7 linked regions of the Macaca fascicularis genome follow. The protein of the gene in region 3 purifies or fractionates together with the protein of the main gene of each other region. This does not show direct contact. Links are inferred from orthologs where the notes say so. Each region holds a gene or a part of one and is shown on either strand. Other genes may lie near its edges. The genes, in order: YWHAE, NMD3, XPO1, RCC1, NUP88, NUP62 and CTNNB1.

Region 1 (3,989 bases), on a different chromosome or scaffold from region 3:
ATACAGCTTAGCTCTTCCTCCCGTACCATTAAATAATCCATATAAATTGATTCCAACGCCCCAGGATAGAATTAAATGAGGGTACATGTAAGTTTAGGCATTAATTCAACACAGCAAGCAAAATAAAATAGGCCTACTGCAGTTAACAGAAAGATAAAAGAGCAGCTGGAAAACCAGCATTTGGGTACAAGTATCCAACAAAGAAATCCTGCTAATATACTGTCTTACCTTCTTCCACCACCGACACCTGCTAAATTCTGTTTGGTGACCAGGACTCCGGCAACACTTCGTCCCAGAAACAAAAAAATATTGCACTCAATAAAGGAATGGACACAGGCAGAGGACACAGGTAGAAATTCCTGGTGTCTGTCTCCTTCTCCTCCTCTCCTTTCTACTGAATCCCTACCATATGCCCCAAGTCACAGGAATAGCTCCTCACCTTGCAGATTCTATTTCCTTACCCCTTTAGATCCTGAAGGGGACACCTAACATTAACAACTGTAAGGATGTGGCTTTATCAGAGTCCTATGTTCAATAACCAGTAAGGGCTCTGGTCAGAAATCTTCACCACTCACATCAAAAATATAATTATCACTAACCTGTCATTTAATTGGAAACTACAATCATAAGCTTTCAAATCGGTTTTTTAAAGGAGCTTTCAAAAAAAAGACCTTCTCTCACATCCTTTCTAGTTATCACAGCAAGTTTACTCAGAGCTCCAATGCCCACAAAACAGAAAGCATTCAAGTATAATTTGTTTCCTCCCAAGAACACTAATAGATGAAGAGGGGAACATCTGGAGATGAGGAGCGGAGGAGGAGACTTCCAATACAAGCACATCTTTATCTGTTTGATTTTTAAACACTGAAATAAAGACAAAGCTGACCTTGAGCTGCACTTCCCCACCTAATTCCCCTCCCTCTCCCAACAGGAATCTTGTTCAATACAAATAGCAATTTAACAATTTACAAGACGAAATTTAGTTTAGTATTATTCCAAATTTGACTTCTAGAGGCCTTGTCTTATTTTCAAATCCCTGAATCCTCGTTTCTGATAAGGGGGAGTAGCCCTGAGGTTATTCACATGACTAAATCTGCATTTCCAGGAAAGCAACGGCCCTACACAACATTTTGAAATACAGGTAGCTTAATCAGGAAAAATCTAAGGATCAAAGATACTTGATTCCAACCATGTCTCATCCCACCCTACCACACAAAAGCATTAAAACCACAGGACCCACATACATGACTTTTCCTTTAATACTACAGTATCGCACAATTATAAATGTGAGGGTATTTCAAAAGGTGGACTGGGAGGGAGGACTAAGAATAAACTTCCTGACAATGACTAGACAGACACAATGGATATTTCGATAAAGTTATGAAAAAGGACTGGAGAACCCGTTATGGGCAAAGGAACAACGAACAAAGAGGAACTACTAAAATTTCTACATAAACCCATTTATTTGAAATGGAAAAAAAGAAAGCAACAGGATCTCCAACCTTCATAACTCAAAAACCCCAGCCTCAGCCGAGTGCCTGGAATAGGTTAAGCTCCCCCACGAAGTACAGACCAGCATCCCGAGCCTGCAGAGTCAACCAAAATACAGTGACTGAACACTATTGGAAATAACTTTATTTCAACAGGTCTTTCCATGTGTCATGATGGTGCGCACAAACTGTAAAGTCATCGTTTTTACAAACGGGTGGACTGAGGCTCGGGCCCTACAAAGGCTCGAACTCTCAGAGTCGTGGCCTCCTGGTCTCCTGCTTCTATCCATCAGAACCCACTGGTGATGCAGTCAGAGAAAGGTTACAGGAACTTCGAGGTCTCCCGTTTTAAGTCTGAGGAAAGGGGAGGGAGTGAGGGTTTTCTGGGCCTCCCCAGCAGGCGGCGAGGAGGAAAAGCCCCAAACCCCCTCACTACGAGGTGCCGGCCCACGGGAGAGAAACCCGATCGCAGCGTCGGCGCCTGCCACCGCCCCAGACGAACCGCAGTGATTCCCGCTCACCCCTCTCCCCCCACCATCACCCGGGACTGTCCCCCGCCTCAGGCCTGAGGAAGCCCATCGCTCTGAAGGCTTCTCCTTTGTGAGACTCCACGGCCGCCGCCCCACACGGGGCCTCCGGGGAAAAGCCACCGCCCCCACCCGCCATATTTCCCTGAAAGGCGCCCGCGCTACAGCTCCCGGTCTCCGCTCTCTCCCATGTGGCGGGTGCTGCTTCCCCCGTCACCGCACCCAATTGTTCTCCACATCCCAAGACCGTCCCAGAAGCTCCCCTGAGGGCTGCTCGTTCGGAGACAGCACCCGCCATCTCCTCCCCCTCCCCCGCCCCGAGACTCGCCCTCCCCCCAGCCGCCATTTTACAACCAACTCCTCCACCCCGTCTCCCCGGCCTCCCGGCCCGCGAGTTGTTTGCAGTTAAGGACGGCGAAGGGGTCACATTCCAAGGCATACAGCCTCCCATTGCCCCGGGAGCTCCCAGGCCATTTCCTGCTTCCCGAACCCAAGCCCCCGGGCCAGGCTCGCAGACGATGCCGCCATTTTGTCTCCTGTTCCCGGCCTCTGTGGGCGGCGGCAGAGGGAACGAGAATTCCAGCCCCCCGCTGCCCCCCCAACTCACCGTCGTATCGCTCAGCCTGCTCGGCCAGCTTCGCCTGGTACACCAGATCCTCTCGATCATCCATAGCGGCAGCGGCTCCGGCAGGGTCTGCGCGACGGATGGAAGCGGATAGTGTCTCCGACTCTCTCAGCCTCTCGCTCCGCGTCCGGGCAGCAAAAATGGCGGCGCCTCAATCCGGGACTTCCGCCTGCGCACGCGGACAACTGCTCAGCTCTATGGCAACCGCTCCCTGGCAACTGGCGCGGGGGGCGGGTCCTGGAACTCGGCGCCCGAAGAGGCTGGAACCAGCGCAGGAGACGCCCCTCCTCCGTCGGCTCAGCGGGCGCCGGAGCCCAGAGGCGGGAACTGCGACTGCTGAGAGGGAGCGGCCCCCGGGGAACGGGAAGGGCTGAGGCGGGGCCGGCCGGGACTGCTCCTGAAAAAAGCCGGCGGGAAACCTGGGCCCGAGGCCCGACCTGCGGAAGAGAACGACTGAGGCGCTAACGGTTTCTGTCATGGCAGGTCTTCCTCCCCGAAAGCAGCGGCTGTCACTACCGTGTCCTGGTTTCCTTTTGTGTTTTTGTTTTTTTTTTGAGACGGAGTTTCGCTCTTGTTCCCCAGGCTGGAGTGCAGTGGTGCGATCTCGGCTCAACACAACGTCTGCCTCCCGGGTTCAAGTGATTCTCCTGCCTCAGCCTCCCGAGTAGCTGGGATTTCAGGCGCCCGCCACCAAGCCCAGCTACCTTTTGTATGTTTAATAGAGACGGGGTTTCACCATGTTGGTCAGGCTGGTCTCGAACTCCCGACTTCAAGGTGATCCGCCCACCTCGGCCTCCCAAAGCGCTGGGATTACAGGAGTGAGCCACCGCGCCCGGCCCGCGTCCTGGGTTTCTCCGCCACTCCTGGTCATGGGCCCATTTCAGACACTTTTACACTCAGGGTAACGAACTGGGCCCTGGCCGGGCGCAGTGGCTCACACCTGTAACCCCAGCACCTTGGGAGGCCAAGGCGGGCGGATCACAAGGTCAGGAGTTCGAGACCAGCCTGGCCAACATAGTGAAACCCCGTCTCTACTAAAAATACAAAAAATTAGCTGGGCGTGGTGGTACATGGCTGTAATCCCAGCTACTCAGGAGGCTAAGTCAGGAGAATCTCTTGAACCCGGGAGGCAGAGGTTACAGTGAGCTGAGATCCCCCCATTGCACTCCAGCCCAGGCGACAGTGCGAGACTGTCTCAAAAGAAAAAAATATATATATATATACACAAAAATTCGCTGGGTGTGGTGGTGCACGCCTGTAATCCCAGCTGCTTGGGAGGCTGAGGCAGGAGAATCTCTTGAACCAGGGAGTCGGAGGGTGCAGTGAACCAAGATCACACCATTGCAC
Region 2 (3,500 bases), on a different chromosome or scaffold from region 3:
GCAGGAGAATCGTGTGAACCCGGGAGTCAGAGGTTGCAGTGAGCAGAGATCACGCCATTGCACTCCAGCCCAGGCGACAGTGTGAGACTCCATCTCAAAAAAAAAAAAAAAAGTTACTTTTGAAAAACCTACTCACAAGAATTTTCTGAAAATGAGACCATCAATGAAAACATACCTATAAATACTGATTTTAGCTGTTTAACTTACCTTACTCAAAGGGGCTTTGATTTTTTTCAAGCACAAAGCAAGAAGTTCCCTGGATTCTAAAGCACACTGTATCCAAGTTCCTGGTGGCTGAAAATACCTAAAAGAGAAGATAACATACTGAAATCCAACATCTCTCAGGAAACACAGAAATTTCCATCTGAATATACAGATATAACCCAAATTATTAACCAGGCATAATAAAACCCAAGGATGATATGAAGCACATAACTCAAAATACTTTAATGGTTCCAAAACTTTCAACTAGACTAGTAGCTTTAACTAAAAAGGTAAAATTCTGACTGAGAAAGCCACTACTAAAGTGATCTTATTATTTCAATCACCAAATCACTACTAAAATGTTCAGAGTCTCTTGAAGTTATGCTCTGAAAAACAGGTGAGAATTATCTCAAAATGGCATTAAAATTGTTTATCATGTACTTCTAAAATGCCTGAGAACTGCTTATTTTTCACAAAAAAAAGGTACATTAGTACCTCACAACACTATGAATCGCAATAGTTCAGTCTATTCATCTACATTTCAAGTCCTTTTCAAATTTCAAATTGTAAAACAATGTTTAAAATCTTAGGTAAAACCTGACTAAAACAAAACTTAAATCTCTCACACATGTGCTTTAAGGTTTTTAGTCCCGCCTATCCAGGGCTTAGCACAATGCCAGACACATCTTATAGTAGGTATTCAATAAATGCTTGTTAAATATAAAATACTTCCAAACGTATTATGTGAATGCCTTTTTGCCATACTTGTTAAATAACAGAGAGTTTTGATTTTCACTTTTCAAGGTTCAATCAAAAACATGACACAGGTCCCCCTTTGTTTATAAGTACATAATTATTTACTTATTTATTGGGTTTTTTTTCTTTCTTCTTCTTTTTTTTTTTTTTTTTTTTTTTGAGACAGAGTCTCACTCCGTCGGCCAGGTTGGAGTGCAGTGTACAATCTCGGCTCACTGTAACCTCTGCCTCTTGGGTTCGAGTGATACTCCTACCTCAGCCTCCTGAGTAGCTAGAATTACATGCATGCCCCACCATGCCCGGATAATTTTTGTATTTTAGTAGAGACAGGGTTTCACCATGTTGGCCAGTCTGCTCTCAAACTCCTGACCTCAAGTGATCCACCCACCTCAGCCTCCTCAAGTGTTTGGATTACAGGCGTGAGCCACCATGCCTGGTCTATGAGTATACTTTTAGAGTTAGAAAAGGCTTCACATATCACCTAATAAAACCCTTCATTCTGATGAGGAAATTGAGGCCCAGAAATGATAAACGGCCAAGAGTTTCAAACAGCTAGTTTGTGAGGAAGCCAAGACAAACTAAGTCTGTTTAGTTCTTTATCAGTACTTTTCTAACTCCACCAGGCTTTATAATAGCAAATAGTTACAACAGATTAACCCTCACACGTGCTAAGCTTGTATATTGTAAACTCCCCAAAAAAGTACACAAAGCTTCATGTGTTTGTTCATATATATATATGTGCAAATATTTGGGGGGAGAGATACAGTTTTCAAATTCTCAAAGGAGTCCATGAACCACCCCTCTAGAGATACACACTCAAAAAGTTAGGGTCTTAACCCATTTTGGAATAAACCCAAAAGGCATATACTTTTATACTCATTAAGCAGTTTTATGTTTCTCCATGGCCTAATAGATGTAAGTTATTTATCACAACAAAGAAAATCAAGAGGAATGAAACATTAACTTTCAGAAGTCTTCTGCCTTCAAATACAATCTTTATTTCAGACCATTCCAGATATGATTTACTGAGCTTCTTTTCCATCAACAATAGTTATTTTAATTACACGTGAACGTTATAAGAGTTTTTAAAACATATTACTAAATTACTACAAACATAAGGTGCTTTTTATCATACATGGCTTCTAATAACTAAAGAAAAAAACCTCATAATAACAAGAATATGTCCTCAATAATCTGCTCTCACCCTTACAAACATCAACTCCCACCTATTAATTGTATATATCAAATCTATTAGATCCTTTAACAGAAGGACAGAGTCAAATACCTTTACACTATCTTTACCAGATTAGAAGGACACACTAGAAAAGTACACTATAAAATTGCAAATTCTGAAATCTTTGGCGAAACCAACAGAACATTTAAACTTTAACTGCATGCACTTTACTCCATATACCTTCGTGTAATCTCAGCATATCTCAGTGGTTCTCTAAATGTAAATTCCAACTTTAAAAAGAGCAAAATTGTACTGCACCGTACCTCTGACATTGTTTGCAGAATGAAACCGAGACTTGTTTTGGAATACCTTGGCTGATGTCCACTTTACTTCGCAAACAGGCCACACAAATATTGGCAGGATTTGGACTTATCGGAACACCACACTCACAGCACAAGCTTCAATAAATAAAGGATACATTTTTCAAATTAGATTTTTAAAATACACTAAATTTTTTTTTTAGATGCCAAACAAATAAAAGCCTTCAAGTTAGGCCATAGTATCTTTGCTCTTTTTAAAAAAATGACAGAAACAAGGCAACCTGGGCCAGTCGCAGTGGCTCCCGCCTGTAATTCCAGCACTTTGGGAGGCTGAGGCAGGCAGATCACCTGAGATAATGAGTCCGAGACCAGCCTGGCCAACATGGTGAAACCCCATCTCTACTAAAAATAGAAAAATCAGTCAGGCATGGCGGCACATGCTGGTAATCCCAGCTACATGTGAGGCTGAGGCACGAGAATCGTTTAAACCCAGGAGGCAGAAGTTGCAGTGAGCCACATCACGCCACTGCACTCCAGCCTGGGTGACAGACCAAGACGATGTCTTAAAAAAAAGAAACAAAGCAATCTTCAAAGATGCAGTAGATAAAGAATAACCCTGTAATACAGGGGCAAAAACACCAAAAATGGCTATAATTCTAAAAATCCTCAATACAAGGCCGATGTCCTAAAGCTTCTAGAGAGTCAGTTCTGTCCAACAGAACTTCATGTCATGATAGAAATGTTTTATTCTGGTCTGTACAACAAGGTAGCCACTAGCCACATGTGGCAAACTGGGCCATGAAAAGTGACTAGTACAACTGAGAAACTCAATGTCCTTTTTTTTTAAAAATTCAGATCTACATTTAAATAGCCAGTATGGGTCTAAACAAGTCTTTTTCTATTAAAAGCAAATGAAACTATATTGCCACATTAAAACAAACGGCGGTATATTGATGAATACAAATCTTGCACTAATTTTAATTTTAAATACTTAAATACAATTAAAAAACGTGAACGTGCTCTTTACCACAACCAACACTATCCAT
Region 3 (3,500 bases):
GTGGCTCACACCTATAATCCCAGCACTTTGGGAGGCTGAGTCAGGCACATCACCCTGAGGTCGGGAGTTCAAGACCAGCCTGACCAACATGTAGAAACCCTCTCTCTACTAAAAATACAAAATCAGCCAGGCATGGTGGCGCTTGTTTGTAATCCCAGCTACTTGGAAGGCTGAGGCAGGAGAATTGCTTGAGCCTGGGAGGCAGAGGCTGCAGCGAGCTGAGATCATGCCATTGCACTACAGCCTGGGCACCAAGAGTGAAACTCCGTCTCAAAAAAAAAAAAAAAAATTATCCACATAATTACTGAAACAAAAGCCATTACACTTCCCTTACCCTAAATCATATTTATAATCCCAAATGGTAAAAACGAACACAAAAGCCTTTTTGTCCATATCTACCTAAGAATGAAGTAAAATATTTTTTGAGACGGAGTCTCGTTTATTCGCCCAGGCTGGAGTGCAGTGGCGTGATCTTGGCTCACTGCAAGCTCTGCCTCCTGGGTTCACGCCATTCTGTCTCAGCCTCCTGAGCACAGCTGGGACTTACAGGTGCCCGGTGCCACGCCCAGCTAATTTTTGTACTTTTAGTAGAGACGGAGTTTCACTGTGTTAGCCAGGATGGTCTGGAGCTCCTGACCTTGTGATCTGCCTGACTTGGCCTCCCAAAGTGCTGGGATTACAGGCGTGAGCCACCGCGCCCGGCCCAGATTTTCAGGTTTTTTTTTGAGATGGAGTCTTGCTCTGTCGACTAGGCTAGAGTACAGAGGCTCGATCTCGGCTCACTGCAACCTCTGCCTCTTGGGTTCAAGTGATTCTCCTGCCTCAGCCTCCTGAGTAGCTGGGGTTACAGGCATGTGCCACCAAGCCCAGCTAATTTCTGTATTTTTAGTAGAGATGGGGTTTCGCCATGCTGGCTAGGCTGATCTCGAACTTCTGGCCTCAGGTGATCCGCCCGCCTCAGCCTCCCAAAGTGCTAGGATTACAGGCGTGAGCCACCACGCCTGGCCCAGATAATAAAATGTACAAAGCCACACATAAAAGCACTTACGGATCACACATACATGTTTAAAGGCTTGAATTCAATATATTTGTAAGGAACACAGTCTTCTTAAATCCCATGAAAACTTTAAGAAAAAGTAGAATACTTACTTTGGTTGCCTGCTGGATTATACTATCCCACACTTGATTAGGGAGTAACATGTACTTTTCTATCAAGTGTTCTTGTACTGTTTGATCTGTTTGTGCACCAATCATGTACCCCACAGCTTCATAAAACGTATGAACCTATTTTAAAAAGCAGACATTTTAACTTTTATGTTCTTATACACCCTAATAAGGAAAACCACACACAAGCAATTCACACACAAGCAACTCAAATATCTTGAAACTGATTTTGGCCCAGGTGCGGTGGGGATCACTCCTGTAATGCCAGTACTTTGAGAAGCTGAGGCAGGCCAATCACTTGAGTTCAGGAGTTGCAGACCAGCCTGACCAACGTGGTGAAACACCATCTCTTCTACAAATACAAAGAAATTAGCCAGGCATGGTGGCAAGTGCCTATAATTCCAGTTACTTGGGAGGCTTGAATTGCTTGAACCTGGGAGGCAGAGGTTGCAGTGAGCCGAGATTATACCACAGCACTCCAACCTGGGTGACAGAGGTAGACTCCATCTCAAAACAAAACAAACAAACAAACAAACAAACAAAACCCAAACCAGGCATGGTGGTGGCTCATGCCTGTAATCCCAATACTTTGGGAGGCCGAGGCGGGCGGATCACAAGGTCAGGAGTTTGAGACCAGCCTGACCAACATGGAGAAACCCCGTCTCTACTAAAAAGGCAAAAGTCAACTGGGCGTGGTGGCACGCACCTGTTAATCTCAGCCACTGAGGAAGAGAATCACTTAACCCCAGGAGGCTGCAGTGAGCAGAGATTGTGCCACTGCACTCCAGCCTGGACTCTATGATAGAGGGAGACTCCGTCACACACACACACACACACACACACACCCCCCCAAAAACAAAAACAAGAATCTGTCTCACTATGAAAATTTAATCAGGCCGGGCATCGTGGCTCACACATATAAAATAATTTTGGGAGGCTGAGGCTAGCGTATCGCTTGAAGCTAGGAGTTCAAGACAAGCCTTGGCAAAACCCCATCTCTACCAAGGGGGGAGAAAAAGGCTAGCTGGGTGTGAAGGCGGTGCACGCCTGTAGTCCCAGCTACCCACGAGGCTGAGGTGGGAAGATCACCTGAGCCTGGGAGTTCAAGGCTGCAGTGAGTCGTAATCGTGCCATTGCACTTGAGCCTGGGCAACAGAGTAATACCCTGTTCTCAAGGAAAAAAGAAAGTTTAATCAGAAACACTTCTATTGGATCCAACAGTTGCCTTCCTATTTCCACTGATACATACAGATTGATACAGGTGTTACTTTCTAAAAATAACATATGCTCAGTGCTTAACATACCTGTTGAGGCTGAAGATCACAAATAATAGTGTTAATGTTGTTCAAAATTTCATCAATAAATGGCATCACTTCTCCAACCTGAACCTGAACGAAATGCCTACGGCATTTTTGGGCTATTTTAATGAAAGTATCACAAGCCATGTCCTGGACTCCATCATGGGTCTCTAACAAGACAAAAACATTCATTTATTTTGTTCAATAAAAATAAAAACAAAATATAGTAAAGAAAGAGATTTACCATGCATGAATTCGAACAGCTTGTTAACTACAGTCTTCAAAAATTTCCAGTGAGCTCTCAAAAATCGTGGATATTGACCTACTATGTACATGATATTTGATGCAATAATAGCTTTATTATCTTTGCCTCTTTTCTGTTCACATAATCCTAATAGATCCTGTAAATAAGACAGATTTATATCATTTATTGTAACAACATAATACTTATTTAGCAATTCTAATTCATACCTATCCCTTGCATACCTTTATAACAGTAACAAGAAATCGTTTTTCATCCTCTTCATGCATTGCTCCACTAATGGAGCCTATTGCCCAACACAATGTATTCAAATTTTTCCACGACCACTCTGTACCATTCACTTGATTGTGAAGCTTCTCTGTCATTATTCTTTCTGTATCTACATAATCCAGATGAGTAAGATAAACTACGAAAAAAAAATTGTTTCAAATGCAAATAATGAGCAAAGAGTTTTACCAATGAATACCATGTTTAGAAAATATTTAGAAACTACAGTACATTTTCTAAAATATATTTCTACCCCAGAATAAATTTATAAAGGTAAAGATTAACAGTATTTATTAACTTACCTAATGTTTCCCTCATATTCTTATACAAATTTATGGAATCTGTATCCTTCATGAATTCTCTCACAACTTCTCCTTGATCATTCTCTACAACCAATACTTCCTCTGGTTTAGCCATTCGACTAACCATTAATAAACGGACCTATATTCAGCAATAAATCAATCAAGAAAAAATCATTAGATCACTGAAATCATTAGTGTAGAAGCTTA
Region 4 (4,221 bases), on a different chromosome or scaffold from region 3:
GACTACAGGTGCCTGCCACCATGGCCGGCTAATTTTTTGTATTTTTTTTTTTTTTTTCAGTAGAGATGGGGTTTCACCGTGTTAGCCAGGATGGTTTCAATCTCCTGACCTCATGATCCACCCGCCTCGGCCTCCCAAAGTGCTGGGATTACAGGCGTGAGCCACTGCGCCCGGCCTGTGGCTGTTTTCTTAACCTGGCAGTGTCTGGGCTGGGAATAAGGAGTCGGCTTTTAGCATCACGCTTCCCTGCCCAGCCCCACCCAACACAGCTTCCTTCTTCAAGGAGCGTACAGTCTCTGGGAGAAGAGTGAGACAGTCCCAGATAAGTTGGCTACAGAGTCAGCTTCCACCATCAGGCACTCCAGAATGCCCACAGCTGCCCTTTGAGGTGAGCAGATTCATCCCGGTTTTACAGCCAAGGGGAAGATGAGGCTCAGGGAAAGGTGGCCCAGGTCCCACAGAGGTGCAATGAAACCCCAGTCTCATGACCCTGCTCCACCAGAGCCAGAGCTGCCCTACCCCACCTCACTTTCCTTATTTATTGAAGAAAGTGGGTAGGCATGCCAGTCTAAACAGTCTGCCTGGAGTTTGGTGCTCCTGCCCTGACCTCCAGTGACCTCACCACAGCCTCAATTTCTGTAAAAGGAGACAGAGCCCTCCCAGACCACTGCAGCTGTGCCCTCCGTCCCCCACGCCAGGAGGGAGAACTTGCCTGCCAGACTCAGGCTGAAAAATCTCTTTGTGTGAAAGGTCCCCAGGAGGGAAGGGAGGAGAGGGCTCGTGTGTCAACAATATACATTTGGTGAGCTGCTGTTACGCCAGGCACAGAGCTGGTATATTTCACACTAGGAGTTTCTCACTTGGGATCCCCACTGGATACAACCTGTGCTTGGGTCTATGTGTTCATTTTTCCTGGGGGAAGGGACCCACAACTTCCACTAGATGTTGGAATGACTGCTTTATGAAAATTATAGGATATTACTATTTGGGAGGCTGAGACAGGAGAATTGCTTGAACCCGGGAGGTGGTGGCTGCAATGACCGAGAGCACGACACTGCATTCCAGCCTGGGCGATAGAGCAAGATTTCGTATCAGGAAAAAAAAAAAAATTGGCCGGGTGCGGTGGCTCACACCCGTAATTCCGGCCCTTTGGGAGGCCGAGGCAGGTGGACACCTGAGGTCACGAGTTCGAGACCAGCCTGGCCAACATAGTGAAACACCGTCTCTACTAAAAAAAAAAAAAAAAAAAATACAAAAATTAGCGGGGCCTGGTGGCGCTGTTCCTGTAGTCTCAGCTAGCTACTCGGCAGGCTGAGGCAGAATTGCTTGAACCTGGGAGGCGGAGGTTGCAGTGAGCCGAGATCGCACCACTCCACTCCAGCCTGGGTAATAATTGCGGAAACTCCGTCTCAAAAAAAAAATATATATATATCCTCACCACATGCCCCCTACCATTGCTATAAAGATAAGGAAACCAATGCTCTGGGGGACTGGGTGGGTTGCCCAAGGGCATCTGATGAGAAAGTTGTAAAGAGGAACAGAACAGGATTCCTGCTCTTGGGATGTCTTTGAAACAAGAGCCTCGGGAACTCCTAATTCATCTGTCCAGGTTTCACTCTGATGTCCTTCTTGGGGCAATCCTTCCCTGCCTCCTCCACCCCGCAGTGTTCCTTAGTCTTGCACCCAAGACCCTTCATGACCCAGCCCTTGCTGTATCATCTTGTTACTCTCCTCCTCCAGTCACCTCAAGACCTGTGATATCCCTTACCACAATATCTATACTTTCATGCCTTTGCACCTGCAGTCCCTCTGCCTGAATCACCCTAATCCCACTACCCTCAGACTGCCCGAAAAACTCTGTTCCTTCAAAACCCCATTCAAGAGTCACTTCACCTAGAAAGCCATCCCTGAGCCTCCTGGGTAGGGCGGGGGGTCCCCCTGAGGGTTCCCGTAACACCCCACACACTCAACTTTTGCTAGGCCACACAAGTCACACGTGGTCGAAGTTAGGTCAATATGTGATGAATGAAGACTTGGCAGTAGCGTTCGTCGCCCGGGCTCCAGGGCATAGTTCGCTAATGACACGGGCCTGCCCTTCTCACCACTGTCCCCCAGCCCTGCAAGAGCGGCACGGAATAGATGGCCAGCAAATAATTTGCTGACAGATTGAGCTGCTGCGGAGTTCGAGACACACGGCTCCCAAAGGTCCACAGCGGTGCCTGGGTGCCTGCCGACGCTGGGACTTCTCTCGCCGCAGCAGACCCCCAACTACCCACCCTCGAGCTCTGAAGATCCACCCTCTCCCGGGCAGGGCTCCCTGTCAGCTCTGCAAACCGCCTTCTCCAAACGCATGCTGGACAAAACCATTCTCCTCGCGGCAGAGACCCATCCCCCGCCCGGGCGGCCGCGCGCACCCGGCCCATCGCGCTCGCGCCGTTTGAATCTCCCGCCTGCGCGGGCGCCGCGGTGCAGGCGTGAGAGGCGCGGCGGCGGAGGGGCAGCGCGGCCCTAGCTCCCGCGAGGCGGGGCCCAGCGGCCGCTGGAGCGCCCCGCGGGGCCGGGGAATCGCGAGCCCGCATCGCGCCTTCCTGCCGCCGGGCTTCACGTGGGGCCAGCGCCGCGCGACACGGGCGAAAGCGGACAGCGACCTAGGCCCGCGTGGACCGGCCCGTGCTCCGGCTGTGGCCGCCCCGCGCACCGCCCTCTGCCCGGACCCTCCGCGCGCCCTGAGCGAGACCTACCTCGGTGCACGTCGGCCACAAGGAACTCCAGCGTTCCCCGCCGGGCCGCGTACTGCCCCAGAGCATGCGCTCTGCAGGCCTCTGGCCCCGACCCGGGCGAGAAAGGAAAACAAAGAGCCCGGCGGCCCCTGGCGGCCATCCCAGGATCTGCATGTGGCGCGCTCCCGGGCTGGGGGGAGCTCTTGGCCAGGCTGGCTCCCCTGGCCCGGTTCCAGTGAGTGTGTATTTTGGAAACCCCAAATCGGGACACGTGGACTAACAACCAGAAAGACTCCTTGAATTCGGTCTGTTTAGGAAAATCTCGTGCGGTAGGGTCTGTACGGAGAAAAAAGATATCTTCCCTACCCTCAAGAGGGCATGGAGAAGGATGAAAAATCAGACTCTCAGCAACCACACAGCGCTATGACCGTGATACCCACAGGGGCATCTTACTCAGCGCGGGGCTTAAGAACGGCTTTCCAAGTTAAGTCTAGGAGGGCAGGACATCCTAGGAGAAGCGACGTTTGCAATGACAGGGAACCATGAGAACCCAGGGAGGTTGTGGGAAACTGCCAAGTAGATGGGAGCAGAGGGTGCCTGTGGGAGTGACAGATCATGGATGCAGGGTCTTGTGTGTCCAAGGGGTCCAGCCTGTATCCTGAGGCAGTGGGGATATATGAGGATTTGGGCACGGGAATGGCATGATCAGATTTTGTGCCCCGTGAGTTAACATCAGATGGGTATGTGCCCATGTCTTAAGGTTTGAGGGAGGCACATCTCACATGCGTGTGAACACCCAGTCATCATTCTTATGAGCTACAAAAGCATCCCGATATGATCAGATCTTATAGAACAAAATAGAGAATGGACTTGGGGAAAACGGGAGCCAAGTGGGGAAGAGCAAGAGGAACGAGAGAGACCAGATAAAATAGGAGATAAGGGTGTGAGTTGGGGTTGGGTTGGAGATGGAAAACAGGTACCAAGGAAAGGCTGTCTCTTGTTAATACACCCATTCTTCAGGATGGATACAAACAGTTCTTCAGGATTTCAGGTGTTCCCTGAAACCCTTGCAAATGATGTTTTGTTGATTTCACGTTGATTCAGACTCTGAGTCATTCTACTGCACCCAAAGTCTAGATGGACACTTTTGATGAGTTCTTACCAACTGAACTTTTTTTTTTTTTTTTTAGACCAAGTCTCGCTCTTGTCAGCCAGGCTGGAGTGCAGTGTTGTGATCTCGGCTCACTGCAACCTCTGCCTGCCGGGTTCAAGCGATTCTCCTGCCTCAGCCTCCTGAATAGCTGGGATTACAGGTGACTGCCACAACACCTGGCTAATTTTTGTATTTTTAGTAGAGACAGGGTTTCGCCATGTTGGCCAGGCTGAATTTCTTCTATGCAGGGCCTGCCACAAAGGACTCCCCCGTCTTCAGAGTTTCTTACCTCTCCAAGTTTACCTCTGCCTCCATCATGGACTCCTCTTTTGGATGATGTACTGTGAA
Region 5 (3,500 bases), on a different chromosome or scaffold from region 3:
TCTAAAAGCATTTTGGCTTAGGGTGATTCTTCATACATAAAGATAAACAATACCTTGGCAGTCTCATAACATATTCCTGAAAGTAGAAAGAAAAGAAACAGATGGTCATGGGAGAACAAATAGAACCAAGAGAAGAAGAGAATTTTGAGGACATGTGGTGCTGACACAACATACCAGAATCTCATGAAAAGATCACTGTTATTAAGCCTTCATGGGTAAAGCAGCATTCTGCTTGCTACAGAAGCTCTTAAAGCCACCCTTTTTTTCCCCCCAGTTTTTGTAGAAACGAGGTCTCACTGTATTGCCCAGGCTGGTCTCAAACTTTCCTCAGCCTCCCAAAGTACTGGGATTACAGGTGTGAGACGCTGTACTTGGCCTTCAAGCCATTCTTTACTATTATATAATAATTATCATTGCTTATTAATTCTGAGTTTATGTCTATCTACTAAGCGTCTGTTGAGAGTCAGCAGTATGCCAGAATGCTAAGAATACAGAGAGGAAAGATGTAGATCTCAGGTAATTCATAGTTGTGTGGGATGAGCAAGTAAAAAGGACAATTAGAATGTTGGATGATAATAAGTATGATAGAATTATCCAGAGCATATCATTGATGTACAGAAAAGATGGCCAGGCGCAGTGGTTCACGCCTTTAATCCCAGCGCTTTGGGAGACTGAGGTGGGCAGATCAGTTGAGGCCAGGAGGCCCATCTCTACTAAAAATCAGGAGGCAGAGGTTACAGTAAGTCGAAATCGTACCACTGCACTTCAGCCTGGGCGACAGAGCGTGACTCTCTCAGGAAAAAAAAAAAAAAAAAACAACAGAAAATATGCACTTATTCCTGGCCAGAAGATCAGGGATGTTTTCTGGGGAAGAAAGTGCATAGAAGCTGAATCTCCCAAGAATGTGTAAGTCTTGTTAGCTAAAAAAGAAAAAAATCAAAAGCATTGCAAGAAGAGAAACAATTGTACAAAGACACAAAGGCATGGCAGAGCATGATGATCTCCCAGAAATACAGAAATACCAATTAATCTGTTTGGAGTGTGAGGTACAAGCAGAAGAGTGGTGGAGAGTTGAGACCTGGAGTAGTAGGGTGGAGCTTGATTATAAGAAGGAACATTACGTGTAGTAGTCTCTATTTATCAAGGTAAGGAAATCTGATGCATTTTATGGAACATTCCAATCTAGATGATTTAAAAAATTTCATGGCCGGGGGCGGTGGCTCACGCCTGTAATCCCAGCACTTTGGGAGGCCAAGGCAGGTGATCATGAGTCAAGAGATCGAGACCATCCTGGCCAACATGGTGAAACCCCCGTCTATACTAAAAATACAAAAATTCCCTGGGCGTGGTGATGTGCGCCTATAGTCCCAGCTACTCAGGAGGCTAAGGCAGGAGAATCGCTTGAACCCGGGAGGCGGAGGTTGCAGTGAGCCAATAGTGGACCACTGCACTCCAGCCTGGTGACAGAGCAAGACTCCATCTCAAAAAAACATGAGGTAATGGTACAAGTGTGAGCACTTACCCAGAGTTTTATTATCCTATAATTGTTGTAAACTAAACTATTACTGTGATTTCAAGTAACTGCCATCCATATTTATATTAAAACTAACTATATTGACTGGTTTGCTTTAATTTTCAGAGATTGCTTTGCATAAATCCACCCCTGTTTGAAATCTATCAAGTCTTGTTAAGTCCAACACAACATCATGTAGCACTTATAGGAATAAAAGGACTTATGGTATTAGAATTACCCAAGAGATGGGGGAAGAATTCTGAATTTGAAGGTGGAAAATCAACAGTGAATTGTAGGTAAGTTGTATGGTATTTATCTGTATCATTTATTATATATACAGAAAATTGTTCAAGACCAGTGGTTCTTAAGCATGTTTAGTATACTGCTCTTGAAACATTAGAGCACTCCTCGTGGTCTGCAGACTGGCTTCTGTGTTACCAATGTTTATAGTATATGTGTGATTGATTGTACTTTTATTCTGCCTGAAGTACCACATTGCTCTCTCATTGGAGGCTAGGCCATTCTTTCAACTAGGTAGAAGTAAGTATTTTATATATATATATATATGTGCGTGTATATATGTGTGTGTGTATATATGTGTGTGTGTATATATATATATTTTTTTTTTTTTTTGAGATGGAGTCTTGCTCTGTCACTCAGGCTGAAGTGCAGTGGCACAATCTCGGCTCACTGCAACCTCTGCCTCCTGGATTCAAGTAATTCTCGTGCATCAGCCTCCCGAGTAACTGGGATTACAGGCAAGCGCTGCCACACCCAGCTAATTTTTGTATTTTTAGTAGAGATGGGGTTTCACCATGTTGGCCAAGCTGGTCTTGAACTCCTGACCTCAAGTGATCCACCCACCTCAGCCTCCCAAAGTGTTGAGGTTATAGGTGTGAGCCACCGCACCTGGCCTATTTTTATATAATTTCTTTTTCAACAAATCCAGAAAAGTGAATCTGAAAGATCTACTCAAAAGAGTACAGATGCTTGTCAACTTACGATTGGGTCATGTCCCGATAAACCCAGTGTAAGTTGAAAATGCATTCATTGCTGACAGCACAGCAGATGATCCCTGATTTAGGATGGTTCAGCATAGGATTTTTCAACATTATGAACCCATCATAAGTCATAAGGAGCTCCTCGATTTATGATGGATTATGTACTGGTAAACCCATTGTAAAGTTGGGGATCATCTGTATAAGGTAGAAACTACTTTTAGCTCCACAGCTTATAAGTTGAGTCCCCTTAAACTGTTTATTTCCTAAGTCTCTGTTTCCTCGTTTTAAAAACAGGATTGATAATATCTGCCCTTGTAATTTCCTAACAGGGTTAGTAAAAGCATCAAATGAGATACTATATCTGAAAACACTTGTACTGTGTAAAATATGTATCAATCCTAAGTCAAACCATCCTAAAATGTATATATATGTATGAAATATTATATAATTTGAGGCCAGGCACAGTGGCTCACGCCTGTAATCCCACCACTTTGGGAGGCCCAGGTGGGTGGATTGCCTGAGCTCAGGAGTTTGAGACCACCCTGGGCAACATGGTGAAACCTCATCTCTACTAAAAAAAAAATCAGCTGGGTGTGATGGCACACACCTGTAGTCCTAGCTACTCAAGAGGATAAGGCACAAGTACTGCTTAAACCCGGAAGGCGGAGGTTGCAGTGAGCCAAGATCGCACCACTGCACTCCAGCTTGAGCCACAGAGCGAGACTTCATCTCAAATAAATAAATAAATAAAATTTAATTAAATTATTAAAATAAATTATTTATTTTGAGACAGAGTCTCGCTCTGTAGTCCAAGCTGGAGTGCAGTTGCATGATCTCAGCTCACTGCAACCTCCTCAGCCCAGGCTGGAGTGCAGTGGCGCGAGCTCAGCTCACTGTGGCCTCCGCCTCCTGGGTTCCAGCGATTCTCCTGCCTCAGCTTCATGGGTAACTGGGAATACAGGCACGCGCCACCACACTTGCCTAAT
Region 6 (3,055 bases), on a different chromosome or scaffold from region 3:
ACTAATGCCATATCGAGCACTGTCACCTCCAGCCAGGGCACAGCACCCACTGGCTTTGTGTTTGGCCCCTCCACCACCTCTGTGGCTCCAGCCACCACATCTGGAGGCTTCTCATTCACTGGTGGAAGCATGGCCCAGCCCTCCGGTTTCAACATTGGCTCAGCGGGGAATTCAGCCCAGCCCACCGCACCTGCCACTCTGCCCTTTACTCCGGCCACGCCAGCAGCCACCACAGCAGGCGTCACGCAGCCAGCTGCTCCCACAGCCACAGCCACCACCACCGGTACTGGGCCCACCCTCTTTGCATCAATAGCAACCGCTCCAACCTCGTCTGCCACCACCGGACTCTCCCTCTGTACCCCTGCGACCACCGCGGGAGCCCCCGCTGCCGGGACACAGGGCTTCAGCTTAAAGGCACCTGGAGCAGCTTCGGGCGCCTCCACAGCAACATCCACCACTGCCACCGCCGCGGCCACCAGCAGCAGCAGCAGCACCACCGGCTTTGCCTTGAATTTAAAACCACTGGCGCCAGCTGGGATCCCCAGCAATACGGCAGCCGCTGTGACTGCTCCACCTGGCCCTGGTGCAGCTGCAGGGGCGGCCGCCAGCTCCGCCATGACCTACGCGCAGCTGGAGAGCCTGATCAACAAATGGAGCCTGGAGCTAGAGGACCAGGAGCGGCACTTCCTCCAGCAGGCCACCCAGGTCAACGCCTGGGACCGCACGCTGATCGAGAACGGGGAGAAGATCACCAGCCTGCACCGCGAGGTGGAGAAGGTGAAGCTGGACCAGAAGAGGCTGGACCAGGAGCTCGACTTCATCCTGTCCCAGCAGAAGGAGCTGGAAGACCTGCTGAGCCCGCTGGAGGAGTTGGTAAAGGAGCAGAGCGGAACCATCTACCTGCAGCACGCGGATGAGGAGCGCGAGAAAACCTACAAGCTGGCCGAGAACATCGACGCGCAGCTCAAGCGCATGGCTCAGGACCTCAAGGACATCATCGAGCACCTGAATACGTCCGGGGCCCCCGCCGACACCAGCGACCCGCTGCAGCAGATCTGCAAGATCCTCAACGCGCACATGGGCTCGCTGCAGTGGATCGACCAGAACTCGGCCCTGCTGCAGAGGAAGGTGGAGGAGGTGACCAAGGTGTGCGAGGGCCGGCGCAAGGAGCAGGAGCGCAGCTTCCGCATCACCTTCGACTGAGCGACAGCAGGGCCCTGGGAGTTCCATGCGGGGAACGCGCCCTGTTGTCTAGTTTGGGGTTGTGGCAAGATACATGTTTCTTTCTTTCACGTGACTGCCTTTGAGACAATTGCTGTGTGCTTTGCCTTTTTCCATGTAGGAAGTATTCTGAGCCCTCTGCCCAGGCAGCAGCCTCATGGGTGTGGCTTCTGTGGCTTTTATTTGAGTGTCTTTGGCCCCTTTCCAGCCACTGCGACCGCCCACCTCATCCTGGCTCGACCTGGTGATGGAGACGCAGTGGTGGTCTTGGTCCCAGCCAGGGTCGCGGGGACAGCTGCTCTCTCCAAAGCGTAGTCATAGGTGTCATGAAAAAATACCAAATGTAAGAGAACCTCCAAAGCCTGCAGGGCGCAGTGGCTCACGCCTGTAATCTCAGCAATTTGGGTGGCTGAGGCAGGCCGATCACTTGAGGTCAGGAGTTCAAGACCAGCCTGACCAACATGGTGAAACCCGTGTCTACTAAAAATACAAAAATTAGCCAGGTGTGGTGGGTGCCTGTGATCTCAGCTACTCGGGAGGCTGAGGCAGGAGAATCACTTGAACCTGGGAGGTGTTGCAGTGAGCCAGGATCACACCACTGCACTCCAGCCTGGCAACAGAGACTGTCTCAAAAAAAAAAAAAAAAAGCGTCCCAGGAGACAGCAGCCTAAGTTTTGGAGTAGGAGGTGTGTGCCTGTGAAAGCTAACCACCAAGACAAAGCAGCACAGTGTGAATAGAACAAACAGTGGGATCGAGAATTGCACAGAAGACAGGTCAGCTGAGGGGCCTACACACAGAGGCCTGCCTTTTGCCTGGCCCAGGCTTACCCCCACCTCTGGGCCTCACCTCCTCCAGGAAGCCTTCCCAGCTACCCAAAGCTCAGGTGGCCTTCTTGCAGGTCCCCGTAGCACCCTGAGCCTGTACCTTGGGTAACACTTGCTATGCTGTCCTGTGCTAGCCGTTTGCGTCCGTCTCGCGGTTAGATTGTGAGCTCCCACGGGCAGAGACCCACTGTTGTTCCCCTGTATGTCCCCAGCCCAGTCCAACAAATGTGACTGGGACATTTATTAAATGAAAGAACAATGAAGCCCGGCATAACAACAGTCCACAGAAATAGCCACAGCTGCCAGTGGTGGCCACGGACATGGCTCTGAACTTCCTGGCACCAGAGTGACTCTAGTCAGTTACAGTAAAATCCACTGTGTGTGGAAGGCAGAAGCCAGCAGTTGTATCCCAAGTGTCTTTTGTATTTGTCTTTATCCTTTGCTGCATTCTCTGAAATACCTATTACTGTATGTTGCTTTTCTAAATAAATGTATTGTGAAACCAAAAAGGCTGCTAATATGGATAAATGTTAGGAGGAGAAACTTGAGTAAAAAGAGCAGCTTTCAGGAGACTCTGCAGGGGTGTCATTCACGTGAAACGCAGGGGCAAGCAGTGCTTGCATAGACACAGGAGCATGTGATGAAGCAGCTTTTGTTTGATGAGACGGAGTAATAGAAAATGCAAATTGTGGTTTGCTCCGGGAAGGGGTGGTGCCTGGTGGTAGAAGAGGAACACGCGAGTGAAGCCACCACGGGGAGTGGGCCCTTGGTGTTTGTGACTGTTATGTCATAGAATATACACAAATATGGCTGGGCGAGGTGGCTCACACCTGTAATCCCAGTACTTTGGGAGGCCGAGATAGGTGAACACTTGAGGTCAGGGATTCAAGACCAGCCTGGGCAACATGGTGAAACCCATCTCTACCAACTACAAAAAAGTTGGTTGTGCATGCTGGCACGCACCTGTGTCTCAGCTGCCTGGGAGGCTGAGGTGGGAGGATCATTTAAG
Region 7 (3,500 bases), on a different chromosome or scaffold from region 3:
GATTATCTGTAATTTATATTTCTACTATTAATAAAAAGATGTATTTGGTAAGGAGGAGTTTTCACTGAAGTTCAGCAGTGATGGAGCTGTGGTTGAGGTGTCTGGAGGAGACCATGAGGTCTTGTGTTTCACCAAATAACCTGGTAAAAGAGTATATGGGGTTTTTTTTGTGGGTGTAATAGTGACATTTAACAGATATCCCAGTGACTTAGGAGTATTAATCAAGCTAAATTTAAATCCTAATGACTTTTGATTAACTTTTTTTAGGGTATTTGAAGTATACCATACAACTGTTTTGAAAATCCAGCGTGGACAATGGCTACTCAAGGTTTGTGTCATAAATCTTTAGTTACTGAATTGGGGCTCTGCTTCGTTGCCATTAAGCCAGTCTGGCTGAGATTCCCCTGCTTTCCTCTCTCCCTGCTTACTTGTCAGGCTACCTTTTGCTCCATTTTCTGCTCACTCCTCCTAATGGCTTGGTGAAATAGCAAACAAGCCACCAGCAGGAATCTAGTCTGGATGACTGCTTCTGGAGCCTGGATGCAGTACCATTCTTCCACTGATTCAGTGAGTAACTGTTAGGTGGTCCCCTAAGGGATTAGGTATTTCATCACTGAGCTAACCCTGGCTATCATTCTGCTTTTCTTGGCTGTCTTTCAGATTTGACTTTATTTCTAAAAATATTTCAATGGGTCATATCACAGATTCTTTTTTTTTTTTTAATTAAAGTAACATTTCCAATCTACTAATGCTAATACTATTTCATATTTATAGCTGATTTGATGGAGTTGGACATGGCCATGGAACCAGACAGAAAAGCGGCTGTTAGTCACTGGCAGCAACAGTCTTACCTGGACTCTGGAATCCATTCTGGTGCCACTACCACAGCTCCTTCTCTGAGTGGTAAAGGCAATCCTGAGGAAGAGGATGTGGATACCTCCCAAGTCCTGTATGAGTGGGAACAGGGATTTTCTCAGTCCTTCACTCAAGAACAAGTAGCTGGTAAGAGTATTTTTCATTGCCTTACTGAAAGTCAGAATGCAGTTTTGAGAACTAAAAAGTTAGTATATAATAGTTGAAATAAAATGTTGTGGTGAAGAAAAGGGAGTAATAGCAATGCCACTTTTACCATTTAGGATAGCAAATACTTAGGTAAATGCTGAACTGTGGATAGTGAGTGTTGATTAACCTTTTCCAGATATTGATGGACAGTATGCAATGACTCGAGCTCAGAGGGTACGAGCTGCTATGTTCCCTGAGACATTAGATGAGGGCATGCAGATCCCATCTACACAGTTTGATGCTGCTCATCCCACTAATGTCCAGCGTTTGGCTGAACCATCACAGATGCTGAAACATGCAGTTGTAAACTTGATTAACTATCAAGATGATGCAGAACTTGCCACACGTGCAATCCCTGAACTGACAAAACTGCTAAATGATGAGGACCAGGTGAGCAATGACATGGCTAGCTTTTTAGTCTGCTTTGAAGTAAATGCTCAAGGGGAGTAGGTTCAGAATGTCTACCCACTACCAGGACTTGAAAACTAATGATGTTTCTGATTCTTGTATTATAGGTGGTGGTTAATAAGGCTGCAGTTATGGTCCATCAGCTTTCTAAAAAGGAAGCTTCCAGACACGCTATCATGCGTTCTCCTCAGATGGTGTCTGCTATTGTACGTACCATGCAGAATACAAATGATGTAGAAACAGCTCGTTGTACCGCTGGGACCTTGCATAACCTTTCCCATCATCGGGAGGGCTTGTTGGCCATCTTTAAGTCTGGAGGCATTCCTGCCCTGGTGAAAATGCTTGGGTAAGAAAACATTGTCAGAATGCTTGAAGCTAAAAAGTAGAAGAGTATAGTCACAATAGTTCTGATGAGGCTTTTTTCTTCTTCCCAGTTCACCAGTGGATTCTGTGTTGTTTTATGCCATTACAACTCTCCACAACCTTTTATTACATCAAGAAGGAGCTAAAATGGCAGTGCGTTTAGCTGGCGGGCTACAGAAAATGGTTGCCTTGCTCAACAAAACAAACGTTAAATTCTTGGCTATTACGACAGACTGCCTTCAAATTTTAGCATATGGCAACCAAGAAAGCAAGGTAAGAGAATTCTTCTTTATGTGGTTTTCATGGAGCATCGGACACTTCCAGTGTCATGTCATTCCATGCAGTGTTCCTAACCTTTTTGGCACCAGGGATCAGTTTCGTGGAAAACAGTTTTTCCATGAATGGGTTGTGGGAATGGTTTCTGGATGACACTGTTCCACCTCAGATAGTCAGGCATTAGATTCTCATAGGGAGCGTGCAGCCTAGATCCCTCGCATGTGCAGTCCACACTAGGGTTTCCGCTCCTATGAGGTTCTCATGCTGCAGTTGATCTGACAGGAGGTAGAGCTCAAGCCAGGTAATGCTCGCTCACCTGCCACTTACCTCCTGCTGTGCAGCCCAGTTCATTTCTGTTCTTTTAAATTTTTGAGTTTCCATATGTAAAGCACTATGCAAAGTAATAGGGATATCATAGGCAAGCTTCTCTTCACACTTTTGTAATTAGGTGGGATGTAGATGTTGGGAATAATAACCTAATATTTAATTCATGTAGTGGGAAGAAGTGGGGGCTATGAGAGCACATTACACAAGTGAAACAGACTCTTTATGAGGGTTCAAGGAGGTACCTCTTGGAGGAAGTGATAGTTGAGTTCAGTGTTCAAGGATGAGAAGGGATTCACTAGGTGAAGGTTAGGTGAGAAACAGCATCTTTGAAACGAAGGAAGGAGATGGAAAGTTTTGGGAATTTAAGAAATACTAACAGTAAAGAGGAAGAAAGGTTTGAGGTGAGGCTATTGAGATAGACTCAGCAGATCTCATAGGGCTTTGTACAGCATGTTTAAAAGCACAATGGGAAATTTCAGCAGAAGCATGAAATGATGAAATTTGTTTTTAGAAAATTGGGGCAGTGTTGAAAGGGAAGATACACAGGGGATGAAAGGACAAGAGTGAATGATCATTTTATGGTATCTCTTTTTAAGGTGGATATAATTAGGAAAATTAAAGGGCCAAGTGATAAGGAGTTTTAAGTGCCAGTTCTGGTTCAAATTTTCAGTGAATCAGTTTTGATATAACTTTCATCTTAGGGCATTAATCTTGCCTGCCAACATGGTTTCTAAATTTTTTTCTTCTGCTATGATCAGTATGGGAAGAAGGAAATTGGGCCAAAACTGATACATTCTTGGGAGGACTGGGATGTCTGAATTTGAGTGGAATGCTTTAAAAGGACAAGTTGGATAGGGCCCCAGTATGGGGGTCAGAGTGATGGGGTCCAGGGATACATTTAGGTCCAATGACAAGCTGGCTGAAATTCTTGTATAATAAAATATGTTGGTAATATGGCTCTTCTCAGACATGTGATCAAGATTCCATGACTAACAAGATATGTATATATCTTTCTAGCTGATCATACTGGCTAGTGGTGGACCCCAAGCTTTAGTAAATATAAT

Evidence for each region.
Region 1: the proteins of XPO1 (region 3) and YWHAE fractionate together in Homo sapiens (co-fractionation; 3 studies listed by BioGRID, with this or other methods). This does not show direct contact. The link is inferred for Macaca fascicularis from reciprocal best matches to the Homo sapiens genes XPO1 and YWHAE.
Region 2: the proteins of XPO1 (region 3) and NMD3 purify together in Homo sapiens (affinity purification with western blotting; 3 studies listed by BioGRID and IntAct, with this or other methods). This does not show direct contact. The link is inferred for Macaca fascicularis from reciprocal best matches to the Homo sapiens genes XPO1 and NMD3.
Region 4: the proteins of XPO1 (region 3) and RCC1 purify together in Homo sapiens (affinity purification with mass spectrometry; 3 studies listed by BioGRID and IntAct, with this or other methods). This does not show direct contact. The link is inferred for Macaca fascicularis from reciprocal best matches to the Homo sapiens genes XPO1 and RCC1.
Region 5: the proteins of XPO1 (region 3) and NUP88 purify together in Homo sapiens (affinity purification with mass spectrometry; 3 studies listed by BioGRID and IntAct, with this or other methods). This does not show direct contact. The link is inferred for Macaca fascicularis from reciprocal best matches to the Homo sapiens genes XPO1 and NUP88.
Region 6: the proteins of XPO1 (region 3) and NUP62 purify together in Homo sapiens (affinity purification with western blotting; 4 studies listed by BioGRID and IntAct, with this or other methods). This does not show direct contact. The link is inferred for Macaca fascicularis from reciprocal best matches to the Homo sapiens genes XPO1 and NUP62.
Region 7: the proteins of XPO1 (region 3) and CTNNB1 purify together in Homo sapiens (affinity purification with mass spectrometry; 3 studies listed by BioGRID, with this or other methods). This does not show direct contact. The link is inferred for Macaca fascicularis from reciprocal best matches to the Homo sapiens genes XPO1 and CTNNB1.

Annotation. Positions count from the first base shown.
Region 1 is NC_088390.1:1,505,493-1,509,481, forward strand, and holds the start of YWHAE (14-3-3 protein epsilon), read right to left. Parts: upstream 2,801-3,989; 5' UTR 2,689-2,800; coding exon 2,625-2,688; intron 1-2,624. UniProt on the Homo sapiens protein: Adapter protein implicated in the regulation of a large spectrum of both general and specialized signaling pathways. Binds to a large number of partners, usually by recognition of a phosphoserine or phosphothreonine motif.
Region 2 is NC_088376.1:64,190,379-64,193,878, reverse strand, and holds part of NMD3 (60S ribosomal export protein NMD3), read right to left. Parts: intron 2,593-3,500; coding exon 2,458-2,592; intron 305-2,457; coding exon 208-304; intron 1-207. UniProt on the Homo sapiens protein: Acts as an adapter for the XPO1/CRM1-mediated export of the 60S ribosomal subunit.
Region 3 is NC_088387.1:60,431,905-60,435,404, reverse strand, and holds part of XPO1 (exportin-1), read right to left. Parts: intron 3,433-3,500; coding exon 3,294-3,432; intron 3,131-3,293; coding exon 2,949-3,130; intron 2,864-2,948; coding exon 2,707-2,863; intron 2,633-2,706; coding exon 2,469-2,632; intron 1,285-2,468; coding exon 1,150-1,284; intron 1-1,149. UniProt on the Homo sapiens protein: Mediates the nuclear export of cellular proteins (cargos) bearing a leucine-rich nuclear export signal (NES) and of RNAs.
Region 4 is NC_088375.1:206,513,537-206,517,757, forward strand, and holds the start of RCC1 (regulator of chromosome condensation), read right to left. Parts: upstream 2,801-4,221; 5' UTR 2,742-2,800; intron 1-2,741. UniProt on the Homo sapiens protein: Guanine-nucleotide releasing factor that promotes the exchange of Ran-bound GDP by GTP, and thereby plays an important role in RAN-mediated functions in nuclear import and mitosis.
Region 5 is NC_088390.1:5,477,772-5,481,271, reverse strand, and holds part of NUP88 (nuclear pore complex protein Nup88), read left to right. Parts: intron 1-1,639; coding exon 1,640-1,809; intron 1,810-3,500. UniProt on the Homo sapiens protein: Component of nuclear pore complex.
Region 6 is NC_088393.1:57,890,287-57,893,341, reverse strand, and holds the end of NUP62 (nuclear pore glycoprotein p62), read left to right. Parts: coding exon 1-1,203; 3' UTR 1,204-2,555; downstream 2,556-3,055. UniProt on the Homo sapiens protein: Essential component of the nuclear pore complex. The N-terminal is probably involved in nucleocytoplasmic transport.
Region 7 is NC_088376.1:104,069,814-104,073,313, forward strand, and holds part of CTNNB1 (catenin beta-1), read left to right. Parts: intron 1-267; 5' UTR 268-315; coding exon 316-328; intron 329-435; exon of another isoform or gene 436-567; intron 568-774; coding exon 775-1,002; intron 1,003-1,198; coding exon 1,199-1,452; intron 1,453-1,577; coding exon 1,578-1,816; intron 1,817-1,904; coding exon 1,905-2,106; intron 2,107-3,453; coding exon 3,454-3,500. UniProt on the Homo sapiens protein: Key downstream component of the canonical Wnt signaling pathway.